2 linked regions of the Anolis sagrei genome follow. The protein of the gene in region 2 purifies or fractionates together with the protein of the main gene of each other region. This does not show direct contact. Links are inferred from orthologs where the notes say so. Each region holds a gene or a part of one and is shown on either strand. Other genes may lie near its edges.

Evidence for each region. Proteins that work in one complex are often made in the same cells at the same time.
Region 1: the proteins of IRF2 (region 2) and IRF2BPL purify together in Homo sapiens (affinity purification with mass spectrometry; 3 studies listed by BioGRID and IntAct, counting the BioPlex papers as one, with this or other methods). This does not show direct contact. The link is inferred for Anolis sagrei from reciprocal best matches to the Homo sapiens genes IRF2 and IRF2BPL.

Annotation. Positions count from the first base shown.
Region 1 is NC_090021.1:306,537,254-306,544,609, forward strand, and holds the start of IRF2BPL (probable E3 ubiquitin-protein ligase IRF2BPL), read right to left. Parts: upstream 3,052-7,356; 5' UTR 2,439-3,051; coding exon 237-2,438; 3' UTR 1-236. UniProt on the Homo sapiens protein: Probable E3 ubiquitin protein ligase involved in the proteasome-mediated ubiquitin-dependent degradation of target proteins. Through the degradation of CTNNB1, functions downstream of FOXF2 to negatively regulate the Wnt signaling pathway.
Region 2 is NC_090025.1:66,334,708-66,341,819, reverse strand, and holds the start of IRF2 (interferon regulatory factor 2), read left to right. Parts: upstream 1-4,046; 5' UTR 4,047-4,609; intron 4,610-7,112. UniProt on the Homo sapiens protein: Specifically binds to the upstream regulatory region of type I IFN and IFN-inducible MHC class I genes (the interferon consensus sequence (ICS)) and represses those genes. Also acts as an activator for several genes including H4 and IL7.

The sequences.
Region 1 (7,356 bases), on a different chromosome or scaffold from region 2:
AACATCTCTCTCTATCCTTCAAACCAAGAAGGGTTACATACCTTTTGTTTCAAAATATAGAAACGTACGACGAAAAGGTAAGGTCTATACATAAGCCTAAAACTGTTTGCAGAAAGGTCTTTTTCGTTTGAGTCTTGGATATTGTTATTATTATTATTCACAATAATACATCTTCGGGGAGGAAGAGGAAGGGGTTTGGGAGAGGGGAGGAAGGAAGGGAGGGGGCGCCACCACCTTCAGGGGTCCCTCTCCTTTTTGACTTTGACGTCTCCGGCCAGGATGGTGGCGATCTCGCCCTGCATGAAGGCCCAAGGCACGTTGGAGCCCACCAGGGGGCACTTCTCCCCGCTGGGGCAGTAGACCTCGCCGGTGGCGCCCTGGGCCTTGATGCTCTCCCGCGAGCAAGGGAAGCAGAACTTGTGGCCGGGCACCGAGGGGCACTGCACGAAGTGGGTGTCCTCCAAGCGTTCGTGGCAAATGGTGCAGCACAGGGGTCCGCTGTTGGCCATGGGCGAGTCGGGGATGTTGGGAGGGTGGTTGGGGTCCAGGCTGGGCGGAGGAGGGGGAGGGGGAGGCGGGGGAGGGGGCGCGGAAGACGGGGCCATGCTCAACTCCCCGTTGCGGGAGGCCAAGCGGCGTGGGCCGGGCGCGGAGGCGGGAGAGACCGGGCTGCTGCTGTTCCGGCGCGTGGACGAGGAAGAGGACGAGGACGAGGAAGAAGACGAAGAGGAAGTGGTGGAGTGGACCGAGCTGCCGTCCTTGGGAGAGTGCGCGTTGCCTAACGTGTCTGCGACGGACATAAGCGCTGCCATGGGCGACTGCCCGTTCTGTGGGGCCGACTCCGGCGGGGTGGTCCGGAGGGAGTGAGGGGGTGGCGGGGGAGGGGGAGGGAAGCCCCCCGTTGCCATGGTGAGCTTCAGGGCCTCGCTCTGGCTGGCCATCCACTGCTGGCGCTGCTGCTCCTCGCTCAGCTTGCCTTCCGAGGCCGAGTCCGAGGGCTCCGGGGAGGCCTTCCTCTTCCTCAAGCCGGTGGCTCCGCTCCCCGCTCCCGCCGAGCCTCCGGGCCCGCGACCCGACGGCGTCCCGGCCCCGCGCGGCATGCCCACCAAGGCGGAAGGCAGCATCGGGCAGGCGGCGTCGAGGAAGGGATGCGGGAGCATGTCGGCGCCCACGGGCTCCTTGAAGAAGCGCACCGCCTCCGGGAGCAGGTCCCCTAAGAGGCGCCAGTCGCCCGAGCCGTGCTTCTTCTCGTACTCGAGGTACTTGAAGCCGGAGGAGAGGCCCCGCCCGAAGTCCTTCATGCAGTCCTGGTACATCTGCTTGGCCACCCCGGAGGCGCTGGCGAAGACGGTGCCGGACCCGGCGGGGTACTCCACGAAGAGCTTGAGCTCGTAGTCCAGGCCGGGCTTGGCCACGGCGTCGAAGGCGAAGACGCGGCCCAGGAGCGCGTGGTCCTTCTTGAAGCGCACCTCGTAGGGCGTGCAGCCGGCCAGCGTCAGCAGCGTCTCCCGCACCAGCTTGGGCTTGCCCGGCCACTCCTCCGCCCGGCTCCGGAGGCTCTCGTTTAGCTCGGCCAGCGCCTCCGCGTTGCGCTGCTTCTCCTTCAGCTCCCGCTCCGCCTCCGCGCCGCCCGAGGAGGAGGACACCGAGCCCGGGCGCTTCCCGCAGGGATCCCCGGAGGAGGAGGAAGACGTGGAAGAGGTGGACGAAGAGGAGGAGGTGGACGAGGAGGAGGACGTCGGGGGGCCGCGAGGAGGGGGCAGCGCCACGCCGGACCCCGCCGGCCCGTTGAGCAGCGTCTGCGGGAGCAAGTTGGGCGGGACGTTGAGCTGGGCCCCGCCGCCGCCGCCACTTCCTTGAGGCAGGCCGCCCCCCAAGTGCGTCCCCCTCCGGGAAGACGACGACGCGGACGAAGACGAGGAGGAATTGGGGCTCTGGCGGTTCAGCTCCGGGGGCCCGTCGTCGGGGGCTTTGGGGAAGCCATTGGGCCCGCCCAGGCCGTTGGGGAGCCGCGCCGCGTGCGGAGGAGGCGGCGGAGGGTACTCGAACCGCCCGCGCGGAGGCTCGCTCAGCCCGTAGCGCTCCAGGCCCGAAGGCGCTTTCGAGGCGGAGGCGTCCACATGGTTCAGTTGTTGCTGTTGCACTGCCGCCGCCGCAGCCGCTGCCGCCGCCGCCACCGCCGCTTCCTTGGCGGAGAGAGGCAACGCTTTGACGCCGGCGCCGACGGGAGGGGAGCGCCCGTCCTGGAAGCAGCCGTGGGCCCGCTTGAGCTGCCGCGCCGTCTCGATGACGAACTCGATGCGGTCGGCGCCCTCGTAGTTGACGCACCCGCGGCAGACGGGCTCCGTGAAGTCCCAGATCATGGCCCACGGCATCCGCGGGAGGTCGCACAGGTAGCACGACTGGCGCCGCGAGGAGGAGACCGGCGCCGAAGACATGGCGGAAGAGGACGCGTCGCCTTCCCGCCTCGCTCTCGGGACTGCCCTCCTTGCCTCGCTTGCCTTCTCCGCTCCGGCTCCTTCCTCTTCTTCACGAGGGAGGCTGCCGACCCGCACTTCCTGCCTTCTTCCCTTCCGCGAGGGTTCGGGGCTGCGGGGGGGAAAGGGACCCACGCCGCGGCTGCTTGGCAACAACACAAGGGCGCCTCAGGGCGGCATCTTGTCTCCACCGCCACTTCCGCTTCTTTTCTAATGCTGCTGCTGCTGCTGCTCAGGCTCCTCGGCTTCACATCCTCGGAATTCGGATCGGGGGAAGCCGGAGTGTCACTCTCTGCGCGACGCTCTCTTTCGCCTTCTCTCTCTCTCTCTCTCTCTCTCTCTCTTGCGCGCGCGCGCCTCAGCCCCTCCCCCTCCTCCTTCTTCTTCTTCTTCTCCTCGCGCCCTCCGCTCGGATGCCCCCTTGGGCGGGGCTGCCTACGTCACCCCGTCGCTCTCTCTCTCTCTCTCTTTCTCTCTCTCTCTCTCTCCCCTCCTCCTCTTCCTTGTAAGCCTTTGCGATTCCCCTTTTGAGCGCCGGCTGACTGACTGACCGATCAGCTTCTGCTTTGCTCGCCCCTCCTTCTCTCCCCCTCCCTCCCCTCTCCTCCCCCCGCTGGCAGCCACTTCCTCTCTTGTGTGTCTGAGGACAGGGAGCCCACTTGTTGCGCGGGGATTGCGCATGCGCGGCAGCTTGCCCGTTTCCGACGTCTCCTCTCCCTCTCTTCTCCCCCCCTCCCTCCCCCGCCTTCTTCGGGTGTGTACAACAGCTGAGTGGCTGCTGGGAGGCGAGGGAGGCTCCCCTCCCTCCTTCCTCGCTCACTCACACACCGAGGGCTATGTTTGGAAAATCAAACATGAGATCTCTCCCTCCCTCCCTCCCTCCCTCCCCCCTTCCTCCTTCTCTCCCTCCCGCCTGGCTCTGTCTCCGCCATGGCAGGTTCCCCAAAGCCGAACCCAGCCAGGAAAGCAGGGGTAAAGTCTGCGGGGGGGGGGGGGGGGGAGTGGGGTGGAGAGAGAGAGAGATGTAGTTTTGATTTCCCACCTTTTCGCTTTCTGAAAGCCTCCTTTGGATCTCTGACAATTGCGTGGCCTCCTTTTCCTGCAGTGAAATGGATGGCAAATCAGAAAGACGGGGAGGGGGTAGACCTCTATAGAGATTTAATGCAGACTGATACCGCTTTAAACTGCCGCGGCTCAGGGCTATGTAGTTTACAAAGTCTTTGGCCTTCTCTGCCAAAGAATGCTGGTGCCTTGAGTGTGAAGAGGGGTGCCAATAGGGGGGCTACTACTTACTTAACGGTGCTCCATTCAGCCATGCTGGCCACATGACCTTGGAGGTGTCTACGGACAACGCTGGCTCTTCGGCTTAGAATTTGAGATGAGAACCATCACCCCCAGAGTTGCTAAGGTGCAGATCTTGATGACTTGAAGGTCGGTAGTTCAAATTCGCAGGACAGGGTGAGCTCCCATTGCTAGCCCTAACTTCTGCCAACATAGCAGTTCGAAAACATGTAAAATGTGAGCAGATCGGTATCTCTTCAGCAGGAACATAACGGCACGCCATGCAGTTATGCTGGCCACATGACCTTGGAGGTGTCTACGGACAACACCGGCTCTTCAGTTTAGAAATGGAGATGAGCACCACCACCCACAGAGTTGCTAAACTGCAGGTCTTGATGAGGTCGGTGGTTCAAATCCGCAGGACGGGGTGAGCTCCCATTGCTAGCCCCAGCTTCTGCCACTATAGTTTGAAAACATGCAGAATGTGATTAGATAGATACTGCATCAGTGGGAAGGTAACGGTGTTCCATGCATTCATGCTGGCCACATGACCTTGGAGGTGTCTATGGACAACGCCAGCTCTTCAGCTGAGAAATGGAGATGAGTACCAACCCCCAGAGTCAGACACAACTGGACTTAATGTCAGGGGAAACTTTTACAATTTCCTTTACTTAATTCAAATGTATCACCATTCTGTTTTCAGGCTGAGTATCCCATGGAAGATTGTAGGTCTTACAAAAAAAAAAAATACCAGCCATGAGTGCTACTCTATCCAGTTTCTCTTCCTCTCTTCTAACTCACCTTTTTTTAAAAAAATACTAAGTTTACAATATGACAATATATAGATTGCTGTGAAAATGACAGTCATCAGCCTACAATATTAAAGCTCATACGTTAAAAAGCGAAACAGCTTTGCCAAGAAGAGAAGGAAGTCAAGGTAGGTACTGTATATTAATTGCTTGTCAAGATTAATCCATTGTCCAGTGGTCCTGTGACTCATAAATGTTGTGTTTGTTGTTTACTTAGTCAATAAAGGGAAGCCATCTTTCAGCAAAAGGTGTGGCATTTAGGTGTCTTTTTTTTTAGTCTCAAAATATCATAGCTTCTCCATCCATGTTTCACCTGCTGCTATCAATTCCCTATCAAGATGTCACTTGTTTTTCAGTTTGGGGCAGTTTTTAGGCTAGGAGTAGCTACACAAGGAAAGTAGTTACTTACGGTGCAATATTTTTGTTCCCCAAGAATACAGAAAGTAAGAAAATGTGATTTCTTGTTTAATGATGTCTGAAATTGTGTTAGCTGCAAGAAGACAGAACTGGTTTATCTTTGTGCATTCTATCTATATGTGCAAGCAAATCCCTTTACAGCAGGCATGGACACACTTGGGCTCTCCAAGTGTTTTGGACTCCAACTCCCACTATTCCTCGCAGCCTCACACCCCTTCCTTTTCCCCCTCGACCACTTAAGCTTGCTTTACAGCCACAAAACTTCCAACAATTAGCATTTGTAGTTTTTACAATTCCTATAATATTCTGGGTTTACATCAGGCACAGGTAACTGGCTCTCCAGATGTTGTCTGCAAAGCTTCAGGCCCTTCCAAACAGTCATACATCACAGAATATCAAGGCCGAAAATCTCACATTATCTGTTTTGAACTGGGTTTAAAGTTATTAAAGCCATGCCATTCCACAGTGGAGCAACAATTTGAACATTGCTCTCTAGAGTGTGGTCTAACACTTAGCTGAACAATTCCTGAGGCCTTGGGCTCCACTCAGTGGGGTTTCCTTTAAGCTTGCTGGGCTGATGTCTTTCTCTCTAGCCTCCCTTTAAAAAACTTTGAGCGGGTCAGTCCCAAAGCTGGGATCCCCAGGCCAATCATGTCATAGCAAGGAAACTTTCAGAGCCATCCTAGTCAAAGTGGCAGTCCATGGTCTAGTGACTATTCATAAGTATGTCAGCCCCTGAAGAGTTTCCAAGAAAGGGATTGCAACCAACGGGCACAAATACCATATTTACTCTAGTCTAATGTGCCACCAAATCTAACACCCTAATTTCAGCAAGGCAATTTAGCCAAAAAAAAGGTGAGCATTAGATTAGAGTAAATTTGAGTAACCCACCCCCACCTCCTGGTGATATAGCTAGTATACTGCTGAGCTGCTGAACTTGCTAACCGAAAGGTTGGCAGATCGAATCCAAAGAGCAGGGTGAGCTCCCGCTGTTAGGCCCAGCTTCTGCCAACCTAGCAGTTTGAAAACATACGAATGTGAGTGGATCAATAGGTAACGCTTCTGCGAGAAGGTAACAGCACTCCATGCAGTCATGCTGGCCACATGACCTTGGAGGTGTCTACGGACAATGCTGGCTCTTTGGCTTAGAAATGAAGATGAGCACCACTCCCCAGAGTCAGACATGACTAGACTTAAGGGGAAACCTTTACTTGTGACTGGCATGTTGGGGAGTAAATAGCCACCAAAAAGCTTGGGAAGATGTATCTTAGAGCAGGTGATGCTATTAAGCTCAGGCCATCCCTCTGTAAAAGGACACAGAGAGTGGAGACATTCTAACTACCCTTTGAGAGTATTTAGGGCCATGAGAAACCGTGTAGAAGAGCATCCGGAAGCCTTTGCCCTACCTACTCCTGTGGGTTTGGTCTTATGATCTGCAGAAATCCTGCCTCAATTCTCAAGAGTGAGAGACTGGCCAATGGGATGCTTGAATGGAAGCCTTTCATTGAAAAGTCCCACCTAAATGGGTCAAGAGCATAATTGTGAGATCAGGAGTGCTGTGGAGAAGCGTCTGCTGCAGTTCATTGACTTGCCCTGTATCCTTACAGTATAAGGTAAAATGGAACAGCTAAAATAATGTGGGGTACATACAAATTTTGGGTTTTCTAATGAAACCATCAGTCCAATTGGAAAACCACTTTTAGGACAATGACTTTTTAAAAAAACCACCTAAATGCATGTCATGTTCAGTCAGGAAAAGTTGGAGGTCTATTTAAATAAAGTCTTTGCCTTCACTCAGCCCAGTTAAATGCAAAGCAAACTGGATACCTGCCAGCTGAGTGCAGGCAGTGAAATCAGAGCAAACTGGTTTCCACTCTGGTACCTCCTCTAAAAACCCATTTTGCCCTGATGGTGATCATGTGTTCTCTGACTGCATTTCAGTCTCCCTTCCTTTGAACTGCAGCATGTATTGATCCTTGGGGGAAGAGCTGGAAAAGAACCATGCTTTAATCATATCTGTTTTAGAAACACACCCCAGTGCCCATGTCCTCATTTGACTTTTGTTGTAGCTTTTCGATCTTGAGGCTTCTTCCAGCTTTGCTTTTCCCAGAGAGGGATTATTCTCTTTTGTGCCAGTCTTTTAGATGTCTCAGGCTACCTTCACACTCCACCCTGGTGTTAAGGCATCTATCTTCTGTTTCCAAATTATTATTATTATTATTATTATTATTATTATTATTATTATTACCTGCCTCTCCTTTTGGCTCAAGATGGGGTTTCCCCTTGACATTGAGTCTAGCTGAGTTAAACTCTGTGGGGTAGTGCTAATCTCCATTTCTAAGCCAAAGAGTCATGATTGTCCGTAGATGCCA
Region 2 (7,112 bases):
AGTGAAGGAAAACTTAATCAAAGCCCTCCTGACAAAGAGCCATCCAGCCATAGATATAGAAAGATATATATATGATTCACACACATACAGATATAGTATCATAGATTTGAGAGAACTCCTAAAGAAGGACAATTATATGTTACATGTTCCAGAGTGGGCAAACCAGACAATCTCCACATCAACACTGACAAAAAAAAACCAGCAAGAAATACTGTTTACTCACAAGCATTAAAAAATTACATATATTCGAAACCAACACTTTCTAATTACTTTATTTTCCAGATCACCAGACTGGGCCGCAGCAACGCATGGCAGGGGACGGCTGGTATATATATAAATTTAATGCTCATTTGAGGGGGAAACATAACTCAGAAACCACTGGATGGATTGACATGAAATTTTGACAGAATACACCTAATAGTCCAACAAGTGTCCATCACCCCTAAAAACACATTAAAAAACCCAGCAGACCAGACTTTAACCCCCCCCCCCAAATAAATCATATATACACATTCATATACATATACACATGCATACATATATATATGTGTGCGTGTGTGTGCATTTGGGCCTTTGGACTGAGAGGGGCGGTATATAAATATGGTAAATAAATATACACAAGCACACACAAATATACACACATACATATACACCTACCCACACATACATATACACATACATACATAAATATATATATCCACTGTTTAAAATCGTGAAAGAGGATGCTGTCAAGGTGATGCATGCCACATGCCAGCAAAAATGGAAAACACAAGAATGGCCTTCAGACTGGAAAAAATCAATTTATATCCCCATACCAAAAAAGGGAAATGCTAAAGCAGGGGTCCTCAAACTTTTTAAATAGAGGGCCAAGTCAAAGTCCCTTAAACTGTTGGTGGACTGGATTATAATTAAAAAAAATGAATTCCTATGCACATTGCACATATCTTATTTGTAGTGCAAAAAACATTTTAAAACAATACAATAATTAAAATTAAGAACAATTTTAACAAATATAAACTTATTAATATTTCAATGGAAAGTGTGGTCCTGCTTTTGGCTGATGAGATAGGATTGTTGTTGTTGTTGTGTGCTTTCAAGTCGTTTCAGACTTAGGTTGACCCTGAGCGAGGGCCGGATAAATGACCTTGGAGGGCCGCATCCGGCCCCCGGGCCTTAGTTTGAGGACCCCTGTGCTAAAGAATGCTCAAACTTTTGTACAGTGGCTCCTATTTCTCATGCCAGTAAAGTAATGCTCAAGATCCTGCAAGGAAAACTCCAGCAATACACGGAGAGAGAGTTGCCAGATGTACAAGCTGGGTTTAGAAAAGGCAGAGGAACAAGAGACCAAATTGCCAATATCCGCTGGATAATGGAGAAAGGCAGGGAGTTTCAGAAAAACATCTATTTCTGTTTTATTGACTATTCTAAAGCCTTTGACTGTGTGGATCATAACAAACTGTGGCAAGTTCTTGGTGGGATGGGCATACCAAATCTCCTTGTCTCTCTCCCGAGGAATCTGTATAGGGACCAAGTAGCAACAGTAAGAACTGACCATGGAACAACAGACTGGTTCAAGATTGGGAAAGGCGTACGGCAGGGTTGTATACTCTCACCCAACCTATTCAACTTGTATGCAGAACACATCATGAGATGTGCGGGGCTTGAGGAATGCAAGGCTGGGGTGAAAACTGCTGGAAGAAACATTAACAACCTTAGATATGCAGATGATACCACTTTGATGGCCGAAAGCGAGGAGCTGGGGAGCCTTCAAACAAAGGTGAAAGAAGAAAATGCAAAAGCTGGGTTGTAGTTAAATATAAAAAAAATCAAGATTATGGCAACAAGAATGATTGACAACTGGGAAATAGAGGGAGAAAACATGGAGGCAGTGACAGACTTTGTATTCCTAGGTGCAAAGATTACTGCAGACAGGAAATCCTAGGTGCAAAGATTACTGCAGACAAGCGTCTCCTGATTTCCTGCAGCCAGGAAATCAGGAGACGCTTACTTCTTGGGAGGAGAGCAATGACCAATCTTGATAAAATAGTGAAGGGTAGGGAATCACATTGGCAACAAAGATCCTCATAGTTAAAGCAATGGTATTCCCCACAGTCACCTATGGATGTGAGAACTGGACCAAAGGGAAGGCTGCGCGAAGGAAGATAGATGCTTTTGAACTGTGGTGATGGAGGAAAGTGCTGAGAGTGCCTCGGACAGCGAGAAGATCCAACCAGTCCATACATCAGGAAATAAAGTCCAACTGCTCATTGGAGGGAAGAATAGTAGAGACAAAGTTGAAGTACTTTGGCCACATCATGAGAAGACAGGAAAGCTTAAAGAAGACAATGATGCTGGGGGAAATGGAAGGAAAGGGGAAGAGGGGCCGACCAAGGGTAAGATGGATGGATGGCATCCTTGAAATGACTGGCTTGACTCTGAAGGAGCTGGGGGAGGTGACAGCCGACAGGGAGCTCTGGCGTGGGCTGGTCCATGAGGTCACAAAGAGTCGGAAATGACTGAACAAATGAACAACAACAATATAAAGAAGGTATATCTTCCAACTTCATAGAGCTGGGATTTTCGGTGGACCACAGTATGCTTGTTGTGGAACACACTCGTTTTCAAAGGTATTTTAAGAAGAAAAACTGCCTTGGACAGCGAGAGGATCCAACCAGTCCATACTTCAGGAAATAAAACCCGACTGCTCATTGGAAGGAAGGATATTAGAGGCCAAGATGAAGTACTTTGTCCACATCATGAACAGACAGGAAAGCTTAGAGAAGACAATGATGCTGGGGAAAATGGAAGGAAAAAGGAGGAGGGGCCGACCAAGGGCAAGGTGGATGGATGGCATCCTTGAAGTGACTGGTTTGACTCTGAAGGAGCTGGGGGTGGTGAAGACTGACAGGGAGCTCTGGCGTGGGCTGGTCCATGCAGTCACGAAGAATCGGAAAGGACTGAACAAATGAACAACAACAACAACAAACACATATATATATATATATGCATATACACAAGTCAGTGAGAGCCGTTCAGCAGTGGAACTCTCTGCCCCGGAGTGTGGTGGAGGCTCCTTCTTTGGAAGCTTTTAAACAGGGGCTGGATGGCCATCTGTCAGGGGTGATTTGAATGCAATATTCCTGCTTCTTGGCAGGGGGTTGGACTGGATGGCCCATGAGGTCTCTTCCAACTCTTTGATTCTATGATTCTAAGTGGACACACATACACAATATACATATACACATATAAACACCGAAATACACAAATATATACACACATATACACACACATGGAGCCCCCGGTGGCGCAGTGGGTTAAAGCACTGAGCTGCTGAGCTTGTTGATCGAAAGGTCGCAGGTTCGATTCCGGGGAGCGGCGTGAGCTTCCGCTGTTAGCCCTAGCTTCTGCCAACCTAGCAGTTCGAAAACATGCAAATGTGAGTAGATCAATAGGTACCGCTCCAGCAGGAAGGTAACGGCGCTCCATGCAGTCATGCCGGCCACATGACCTTGGAGGTGTCTACGGACAACACTGGCTCTTCGGCTTAGAAATGGAGATGAGCACCACACCCCAGAGTCAGACATGACTGGACTTAATGTCAGGGGACTACCTTTACCTTTACTACACACACATATACACAAATATATACTCACACATAAACAGATATACACAGACTAGGCCACAGCAATGTGTGGCAGGGGATAACTAGCAATATAATAATAATACATTTTATTTATACCCCGCCACCATCTAACATGAGGCCAAGCCCAATAATAATACAGCCAAGTTAAACACAAAATAACAGAAAGTAACAAAATAAGTAACAAAATAAAACAAACAGTGCAAAACAATATCATTATAGTGTAATAGGAATGACAGTAGGCCCTGCATTGTAGAATGAATGGAGTTGGAAAGTGCCCTGGCTCAAGGCTGGAAGGGATTCTGGGCACCAGGGACGAGAAAAGGGCGAAAGGCCTTGCCAAACTACAACTCCCATGCTGCTGAAATGATGAACCCGGAAGGCGCTCCCAGGCGAAGCCATTGCAGGGAAAGAAGAAAGAGGGAGAAGAGCAGAGGAGGCTGGCTTTCCCTCCTGGAAAGGGGAAGTGAGCCTGGCTTTTCCGCCCTGCTTCCCCTCCCTCTTCCTCCCCTTGTGTTTCTCTTTCTCTGGCTGGAGGGAAGTGAAAATGAAATCGACTTTTCGGAGAAATGATGAAAGCGGCGCCGGCTGCCAATGAGCTTCTGCGGCAAACTTCCGCACCTCTTTCTCCCCTCCTCCTCCTCCTCCTCGTCGTCCTCCTCCTCCCCGCACAAACAAGGCCTGGGAAGAAGGAGAAGGAGGAGAAGGAGGAGAAGAAGAAGGGGAAAGGGAAGGGGAGCCCGAGGAGCCCAGGAAGGGAAGAGGGGCCAGCCAAGGGCTTGGCTCCCCCCAAAGCCCGGCGCCCGCCTTGTTTTGCTTTCGATCTGGAGTCACTCGAGGCGGAATTAACTTTTAGTTTTGCTCCCGCCGCCGCCATCCAACCAACCCGGCCGCCTCTTTCCCTTTCCATTTCGCGTCTCTTGGCAACCGAGGCAACCTTGAGGAAGGAATATCTGCACACCATTCCGGGTAAGGAAAGAGAAACAACCATTGTTTTTGGAATCTGCAAGCCGAGGGAGACATTGATTGATTATTTTTCCTTTCCACATCTCAATAGGAGCACGTGCCAACTGCTTTGCATCTCCAAAGGTTGCCATCAAAACTAGGGGGATTTTTAAATTTCACTTTTGGATTTGCATTTGGAAGGAAAGAAAAGGGTTGGGCTGCTAGGATTGGCTATAGACTCAAGGCCCTTCCAAGCAGGCCCAGGATCCGATCCCAGGTTTTCTGTTTGTCCCAGATTATTTTGCAGTGGAGACTCATATAGCATAAAATCTGGGATCAGATCCTGGGATATAAGGACAGTGTGGTAGAGCCCTTAGAGCCCTTCCACATTTCCTCTCTATCCCAGGATCTGATCCCAGATTATCTGTTTATCCCAGATTATCTGGCAGTGGAGACTCATAATCCAGTTTAGAGCATAAAATCTGGGATCAGTTCCTGGGATATGAGGACAGTGTAGCAGAGCCCTTAGGGCCCTCCCACACTTCCTCTCTATCCCAGGATCTGATCCCAGATTATCTGTTTATCCCAGACTATCTGGCAGTGGAGACACATATAATCCATTTTCAAGCATAAAATCTGGGATCAGATCCTGAGATATAAGGACAGTGTAGTAGAGCCCTTAGGGCCCTTCCACGCTGTCTCTTTATCCCAGTATCTGATCCCAGATTATCTGTTTATCCCAGATTATCTGGCAGTGGAGACTCATATAATCCAGTTTCAATCATAAAACCTGGGATCAGGTCCTGGGATATAAGGACAGTGTAGCAGAGCCCTTTGGGCCCTTCCACACTTCCTCTCTATCCTAGGATCTGATCCCAGATTATCTGTTTATTCCAGATTATCTGGCAGTGCAGACTCATATAATAGTATCAAGCATAAATTCTGGGATCAGATCCTGGGATATAAAGACAGCGTAGTAGAGCCCTTAGGGCCCTTCCATACTGCCTCTCTATCCCAGGATCCGATCCCAGAATATCTGCTTGAAACTGGAATAATACACTGGACATTTAAAGCAGTTCGAAACTGAAACAGCCAAGCAACCAAACTCCCGCAAAAGATGTGCATTTGTGGTTGGTACAATCACCACCCCAGGCTTCAGAGTGGTACCAGCATTTCTTTTGGAATCCTCTAGCGCAGCAAAACCCACTTCTCTTCAATGCTGGTTTGAAACCGCGTTAAGCGCTCAGTGTGGACTTTGCCAAAGTGGGATTGTGGTAGGGTTATTTCAGGGACTTGTACTGTTTTAAGCTTCCCAGAGAAAACAATGGATCCTTGTTGTTGGCCTCTCCAAGGGCCCTTCCAGCCAGGCCTTACCTCCCAGAATCTGATCCCAGGTTTTAGATTATATGAGTCCCCACTGACAGATAATCTGGGATAAAAAGAAAACCAGAGATCAGTTCCTGGGATACAGAGCCTGTCTGGAAGGGCCCCAAAAGACTATTTCCTCTACATTAGGGGCTATTCCACACAGCTTTATATCCCAGAATATCAAGGCAGACAATCCCACATTATCTGATTGTGACTCAGATAACCCAATTCAAAGCAGATATTGTGGGATTATCTTCCTTGATATTCTGGGATAGAGGACTGTCTGGAAGAGCCCTGGATTAGCATTATTATTTGAGTCTCTCTGGGCCCTTCCAGACAGGTCCAGTATCCCAGGATCTGATCCCAGCTTTTCTGTTTATGGGTTGTTGTAGGGTTTTTTCGGGCTAGATGGCCATGTTTTAGAGGCATTTTCTCCTGATGTTTCGCCTGCATCTATGGCAAGCATCCTCAGAGATAATGAGGTCTGTTGGAACTAGGAAAATGGGTTTATATATCTGTGGAATGACCAGGGTGGGAGAAAGAATTCTTGTCTGTTGGAGCTAGGTGTGAATGTTTCAACTGACCACCTTGATCAGCATTTGAAGGCCTGGCAGTGCCTGGGGAAATCTTTTGTTGAGAGGTTTATAATCTTTTGTTGAGAGGTTTATAATCCTGTTTAATGCAGAAAACCTGGGATCAGATCCTGGGGACAGTGTAGAAGGGCCTGCTTCGAAACTGGCTTGCTCTTCCCCTGCAGAGGCCTTCCAAAGCATTTTTCCCCCAACCTTTGGCCCTTTACGTTTGTGGGACTCCAACTCCCAGAAGCCTCAGCCAGGTTGGCCAATGGCGAGGGATTCTGGGAGTTGGAGTCCTCTTTTTGGGAAGAGGCAGGAAGGACAGCACTGGCTGGCTTGGGAGGGAAGAAGAGTCTAATAACGACCACTTCTTTAACAACTGGAGATTTGGCGAGAAGCAAGGGAGGAGGGAAGGGCTTGTGGGTGACCCCACCCGCAGAAGGAGGTTCTGTGTTACACAAGCCTGGCGCGCGGTCACTTCCTTTTTCTCGGCCGGGTCACGCTGTGACGTTGACGCTCGGGCTGGCCAATAGGGAAGCGAGCTCGCGCCGAGGGAAGGCGCCAATCAACGCCTCGCGCTGGCG